2 linked regions of the Caenorhabditis elegans genome follow. The protein of the gene in region 2 purifies or fractionates together with the protein of the main gene of each other region. This does not show direct contact. Each region holds a gene or a part of one and is shown on either strand. Other genes may lie near its edges.

Evidence for each region.
Region 1: the proteins of daf-1 (region 2) and bra-1 purify together in Caenorhabditis elegans (affinity purification with western blotting, with the first as the bait; one study listed by BioGRID). This does not show direct contact.

Annotation. Positions count from the first base shown.
Region 1 is NC_003284.9:13,596,389-13,600,144, reverse strand, and holds bra-1 (MYND-type domain-containing protein), read right to left. Parts: upstream 1,697-3,756; 5' UTR 1,675-1,696; coding exon 1,606-1,674; intron 1,517-1,605; coding exon 1,400-1,516; intron 1,353-1,399; coding exon 1,146-1,352; intron 913-1,145; coding exon 754-912; 3' UTR 458-753; downstream 1-457.
Region 2 is NC_003282.8:130,369-134,124, forward strand, and holds the start of daf-1 (Cell surface receptor daf-1), read left to right. Parts: upstream 1-2,047; 5' UTR 2,048-2,082; coding exon 2,083-2,128; intron 2,129-3,507; coding exon 3,508-3,594; intron 3,595-3,756. UniProt on the Caenorhabditis elegans protein: Probably involved in a TGF-beta pathway. May be a receptor for TGF-beta-like ligand daf-7. Controls the decision of whether or not larvae enter a developmentally arrested state, known as dauer, in response to environmental conditions.

The DNA.
Region 1 (3,756 bases), on a different chromosome or scaffold from region 2:
AAATTCTGAAAAATCGACAAACCTTATTTAGGAATCGGTCTGATGAATAGTAAAGCACTTACACATTATTGAGCAAGATTTACTATTATTATCGCATCGCAAGTTGTTAAACATACTCAAACGATGTTCATTTATTCACAAATCGCAATTTCTATTCGTTTCGTTGTTGAAACTCAAACAAAGTATATTTGTTGTACAATCCGTGTAAATTTCATAGCACTCCTTCTAATTTGAATTTTTGGGTGCTTTCTGAAATAGTTTTTCAGAGAAGTTTATATTCATTTTAATTGCAGAGGTTGAATAACTCTCAATTCATTATGTCAATTCATATCTTCGTTAATTGTTTACATTTATACAATACACATCGGATGTGAAAACACGTTTGATCCCCATAAGTGTCTAGGAACATTTTCATTTTGTCATCTTTCACATTTACAGTATCCAAAAGGACATGTGTATCAAAATAAACTTTATTCACATAATTTCTTGATTATTTCTCGAAGGAATTAACACAAGTTTGAGATCTCTCCGAAATTGATCCAAATTCCTAATTAACAGGATTTATATAGAAGATCTTAAAATTGTTGTTGTCATGGGATTATAGAAAAATATTGCATGTTATTGGAGAGAAGATATACAGTAGTAACACAGAAAACGGGATGTGTGATGAGATAAACTTCGAAAACCTGACACAAGCTTTGTTACTTTTCAAAGGGCCTCCGGCTCGCAGATAGCATATTATTTAAGTTTCAATCATTGTTGACTTTGAGTAGGCTCAGCAATTGGCTGAACTGGTCCTGGGGCTCCACCGTTGCTCTTCTTTCTGCGGCAGAACTTGCGATGAATCTGCCAGTGTCCTTGTTGGCATTCAACGCTGCAATAAGCAGTGTTCCAGCAGCAATGATAGATTGCCTGAAATATGATCATGATGTTTCAGGTCTAGCGTTATTAATACAGCACTGGAGCGCAAAAGAATTATTTTCATGCTCGAAAGAAAATTAGCTTACAAATAAGATATAGTACTATGAACATTGGTATCACGACTCAGACTGATGTTAGAGATTTTGAAATATCTGGCAACACTCTACATCTTTTAAATAGAGAACCCGTCTAAATCAAAAAATCATAAAATCATAAAATCTCACCTCGCTGTTGCATTGCCAGCACCACTGCTTCTTCTTAGCGACAGCAAGTTCCCTTTGGTGTTTTTCCGACAGCTTTTCAATCTCCTCCTTGAGATTCTCCGCGTGCTTCTTCTCCAGCTCTTCCTTTGTCTGGTCGAGCTCTATCTTGAACTGAACCAACAAATCGCGACGGACTCGCTCCTGATCTTCCATGAATTCTTGATGGAGCTAAAATATAGATTTCTAAAATTAAAACTTTGGGGTGGTTGACTTACTTTTTCAGTTAGAGCAACGAGAGATTTCTCGCGGCTATCGTGATAATCCGTGAGCCATTGACGCTGAAGGTCGACAATCATTCGACGCATTTTGTCATCCACGTACAAGTCGTCGAACTGTAAAGATGATTTTTTTTAATTTTTTCCCGGTGAAAAATTTTAGTGAAAGTTGTTCTGTTATATTTTTCAAAAAAAAAAGCTCTTACCGTATTTGTTCCGTTTCCATTTTCCCCATTAACTTTTGGCGATGGTCCAGCTTCAGCTTCTTCCGACATTTCTGTAAATAACTGTGTTTCTCTGGAAAAAAATTAAATCAACTAATCAAAAATAAAAACTCTCGTCAGCACCGATATAAAAAAGAAAATAACAAAAGCGTTTAAAACCCCTCAACTCCACGCAGATACAACGATGCTCCGGAATTACGGCACTCTTGGTTTACACCAGTCTGAGCAGACGGCCGTCTGCTGTCTCGAGGTAATATTCAAATGACGACCGTAGAGAGATAGCGGAGAGGTAAAGCAAAAGAGAGAGCAGAGAGAAAGGAAATGGCAGATAATGAGCCCATGAGGCGAGTCGATATGTGGTCATGAGCCGGAGGGCGTTGCGCAGTCTAATGAAAGGATAAAGAAGAGATTATTGAGAGATGGAAGGTTCTGGTCACCTGCTCACAGACTACATTTTTTGAACAGAATGCGTTGTGACGTATCTGACTTTTTGATTTACAAAACAAAGGAAGAATTTGAATTTGTGTTTGACGCACTTAAATAAATTTCCGGGTGGATATGGAAAATTTGAGAATGAATATTTGAAAAAGAAAATCAAGAAAAAATGAGTTTTTTGAAAACGTATTCTTAGAAATTTTTCTTATAATTATAAGCCTTGTTGCTGTGCGACACAGGAAAAAATTAAAATTTTAACAAAAAACTTAAACTGGGAAAATGTTTTATTACATTTTGGAAACAAAACTGAAATCTCAAAAGATTGCCCCAAAAGCTCAGATACCCTTGGTTACGTCGTAGTTAATCATAAAATTTTTATGATTCTCGTAGGCTGAAATGGTGTATTATTGAAGCTTGAAGGGCTTCGCAAAACGGGAAATGAGATTTTGTGACTAACGGAAATTAGAGCCCAGCTAGCCGAAAATTTTGAAAAATTGAATATCAAGAGAAATATGTGGAAATTCTTGTTGGAAATTTTTAGGGATAAATATTGTTTTTTAAAACAATATTCGTTTTTTACGCACCAAATAGAAAAACAGAAGGAATGTGACAGAAATGTACAGAGAGGGTTGACTGACTTTGATTATCTTCTGGTATTTTTCCAGTTTTGCAAAGATATCTTAAGAAAACAGTATTAAAATGATTTCCAGAAGTTTCAGCGTTTTAGTAACTTTTATTAAGCAAACCTGTTAGTCGCAGAAAATCTGTCATCACACGTGATCGATGATATCTTTTTTTGTGTTCGATATCCTCAACCACGAATGCTGACTGAACACGTCTGCGAGATTTTCAAAAATATCCAGAATAAATTTTGAAGTAAGCATTGAATATCGTATATTTTCCTTCCAACGCGGCAATAGATGAGGGCGGCGGTGCACATAAAAATATCGCAAAGATGAGAACCATAAAATATTGGCGCTGCAGTTTTTTTGCAATTCGTTCTCTTTTCTTGACGCCCAAATTTGTTGGATCCTATGAAACAAAACGAAGGGTAGTAATGGGTGATAATGTACAGTTCAGTTCTACAGTTCAGAGCTCGGAAAATTCGGCAAATATCGTTTTTTAATATTTGCCGTGCTTAACAAACTAGGAAAATGTGATAATTTTTTATGTCTTTTTTATGTGAGCATTTTTTCGACTGTGGATTGCAGTTGACTAGACAATTAACTAAGTTAACTAAGTTAACTAGACTATAATTGACTTCCGAAGATACTCAAGTCGGTTGGGACAATCAGTTTTTTCTGCACTGATCTGCTTGATGTATCCTAATCGGCTTCATCTTTATCTGAGTAGGTGTGCTGCAAATTTGCCGTTTGCCGGGCTCGGCAAATTTCAAAAAAGTAGATTTGCGGAACTTTCCGAGCTCGGCTAATTATGTTAGGCCGGATCGATTTTACATGACTCATTTCCGTTGTTATCAATTTTTCTATCTGCTGAACAGGTTAACAACCATATGATAAGACGCGTAATGTGCCTATGTAATCATTTATTAAAAACAGTTTTTTGTGTACGAAAAAATTTCAAATAGAGGTGCCTGATTTTTACAAGCTGGATAAAACAGATAGTTCAAAAGTGGTATGATGTATGATGACAACGTTTATAGAATGACTTACATTGTTAGATAATTCATAAAATACT
Region 2 (3,756 bases):
AAGTTCAGTTGTTTACACATTTTTTTGCAGAACCACTCCCTCTGTGTTCTCCATCTCTTTTTTTTCATTGTGAAAAGTGTGTGCTTCTCAGTATGAAATGAACTTTGTTCGAAAAATTTTAAAATTGTTAAATGACAAGGCTTCCACAATTAAATTTGCAATTTTTTGATAGTTTTAGTACCCACGAGAATACCGTATTTCTTCTATTAGTATGGCCTCCCTATTAGACTTGCACTCCCTATTAGTATTGCCCCTCGGAGACCTTCCTTTTCTGAATTTTTACATAAGATTCGAGCTTTTTCAGAAAAAAAAAACTAGTAAGCTGAAAGTCAGAAAAATGTTCTGAAAATTAGTATTGCACTCCCTATTGGGCAAAAATAAAAAAAGTATTGCAAGCGGGAAGACTATCGAAAAATAGTATTGCAGCCATACTAATAGAAGAAATACGGTATAAGCAATTTAAGATTTTATGCTATCATTTACTATATATAAAGCGCTTATTCCGTTTGTCCATAGTTTGTAGTCTATGTAGTCTTTGTAGTCTGCGAAGTTTTAGCTTCTGGAGGGATATAAAAAATGGAGGGATATAAAAAAAAAATCAAAAATTTATTTATTTATCGATTTTATGAAAAGTTAGCAGGACCGCGTAGACCGGTACATATAGGCTAAGAAGCTATTTTTAGCAAAAATTGATAACTGTCTTGTGAAAAACATGTCTGTAAAGTTTCGTAACGAAAACTCAATCGGTTGCTCAGAAATGAGCCCAGAAGCCTTATGGAAACAAAAAATAAGGAAAAGCTTAGTACAAATTCATCTCTAAAACGGTTCAAAAAAGTCCGAATCGTATGAAAATGCACCAGAGAGTGACATTTTGTGTAATTTACCATATTTGAAAGTTTGGTAAAAATTGGAAACTCAGTAGCTTCAAAACGAGCTTAAAGGTACTAAAATGTGAAAATTAGAAGAGTTCATGCTTCCGCTTGTTTCCATGATATGAAATCAAAAAATACACTGGTAAAACAAGTGAATGAACGTTATTTAACTTTTTAAAATTTTGACACTTTTCGAAAAAATCGAAGTTTTCGTGAAAAATTTCCAAATTCTCGAGGTGTCCCATAGCAGTTGGGCGGTCGATTTTTTAACTTTTCGCTCGTTTGCTCTCAATTTTTCAGCAATCAGAATAAAATTGTAGGTACATAGGTTTTTTGGTATGCTGAATCCGATTCCGATACTAGTTTTCCATGAAAAAGTTCGAAAGTGTCTGAAACCCTAAAAATTAGGGGGTGTCCCATAGCAGTTGGGCGCACTGTATATGCATCCGTTTAAAGTTTATTTTCTACTAGCCAGCACAGTCCATAGAGTTCTAAATAGCGTTATCCCGTGCTGCGAGGCTGCCCCATTTCGTTTTGACCTACAAAAAATGCGGGATTTTTTTGCCTAAAAATATGACGTCAGCACTTTTGTAATCATGCAAAATCAGTTGTGAACTCTGCGTCTCTTCTCCCGCATTTTTTGTAGATCTACGTAGATCACGCCGAAATGAGACACTCTGAAGTAGTTTCTCCAAAAACCTCACTGAAAAATTTTGTGCAACGTTATCTGTATAGTTACAAATTTTCGATGTCTACTAAAAATATTGCAAATTGAATTATAAAGAGTTGGTCAGTTGAGAAAATGTTTTCCCATCCTACTCTCTATATCGAGTTATACATTGTCAATCTCATATCCTACCTAATTCCAAAATAACACTCAATTCAACAATAAAAGAAAGTCACGTGGCAACGCGAAAAAAAAAAGATAAACAAGGAACGTCTTCTTCTTCTCTATTCAATTCCATTCATAGTGGACTAGGTGAGCCGCTCGTCAGTATCTGCTCACCGTCTGCGTCTCTGCTTGGCTCTTCTCTTTCTCTCCATGTGCTCCGGCTCCCCCTCCTCACACTCAACCACACACACACACACACGTATACATATCTTCTTATAGTTTTGTTGCATGCTTCATCTCTTTTCTCATCTTTTGCCTTCTATGTACTTTGCTTTTTTTCCAGATCTCCTGATGAACTAAACTCTTGGGAAATAAATTATGAGGATACGGCACGTGGTGTTCTGCCTGCTCGCACTGGTTTATGGTGAGTACTTTGAGGTTTTGGTGTTTGATAGCAAAAGTCATCAATCTATTTTTCGGGTTAATTGGGTTAATATAGGTATTATTATGCAGCTAGATGATGATTTGGTTCTATCTAAACAAAAAAGTGCAATTAAAATCGAATTCTCACTGGTTTACATAAATTTTTAGTTATAATCACAAATTTAATAGTTTACGCTCTATTTTTTTTTTTGACAAACTAGATATAGTTAAACATATTTGAAATTTGATCCAATATCCAATATAAGTGAAATCAAGTTAAGGTTGTTAAGTTTGATATATGTAGTAGTAAATATATAGAAATGTTTTTCATATCAGGTTCAGCCAATCATATTCGAGTTGCGTAGTGCTTATGCAGTTGATAGGTTTTTTGGTATAATCTAGTTATGTTGTAACTCTAAAAAAATTTTCTAATTATCATCACGAATATGTATATCGTTTAAGAAGTTAGAAAAAAACACTGATTATTTTTTTATTAGCTCAAAAAGTATGTATTAGTCCCATTTAGCTGGCTTTTAGAAATTCGTGTTTAATTTTGATTAGTTTGACTATGGAAATTGTTTGAGCCCAAAGTTAAGCAATTTATGTTATTGCAGATTAGCTGCAGACTTTTTCTATTAGAATAGAATCTTATTACATAGTTATTATTGCCTAATTTCAGCTATACAAAATGCGACTTATCAACTTATCATTTTAGTTGTAGTTGATCGCAGTTGAAGAAAATTGAAATGTTATTATGATCTTAAAAAAATACATATCACTTTAATTATGAGTGACTTGAAATTGCTATTTTTTATTGCAATTCATAGTTGATATATGTTCAAAAAAGTCAACAAGTTAACTGATTTGCTGATAGTGAATATTAAATTTAGCGCAATGAGCAATTGATGCAATTAAATGTTAGTTGCAGTTTTATTCTGTTAGTGGGTATTTAGAAAATAGCTAGGTGCAATTTAAACTAAATTTTCAACAATTTAGGAATTTAAACTTTACTTTTTAGTCGCATCACTTATCTAGGCACCCCACTTTTTAACTTTAAAAGCGCCTAACAATAAGTATCTAAGTTGTCCTGTATTTTATTTTAAAATTGCCAATTTGTTAATTTTTTCTCTATATAATTAATTATCTATTGATATTTACAAAATGTGCCGAGTCCTGCCCTTCCAAAGGAAACTAGTGGGGTGCAATACCAATAGAAGAGTACAAAATTTACAGAAGTCCAAAATAATATGCATCACGGTTGAGAGCTTTTTAAATTTGTTATCAGTATTTAGGCCTTGGCTCAAACACATCATAAATTGGTACCTGTGCAAGAAAATTAACCAAATACAGCTTTCTACGACCCTTTTCAATTTTTTCCAGGCGCCGAAACTTCCGACGATGATCTCGACGAACGGACAAATATCTTCATCCGTGATAAACTGATTCCGGCGTTGAAGCTTGCAGAAGGTAGTTTGTTTTTTTGGACTCAACAGAAAATAATCGCCGGCACTCAAATTAGATGGCATTTATCGTCAGAAGAAGCTTTGGGCAAAATCCCCCGGTAGCAAAGCAAAATAATTTCGTTCGATCAAACATTAAAAGAGATTTTCAACTATATATATAATCAGT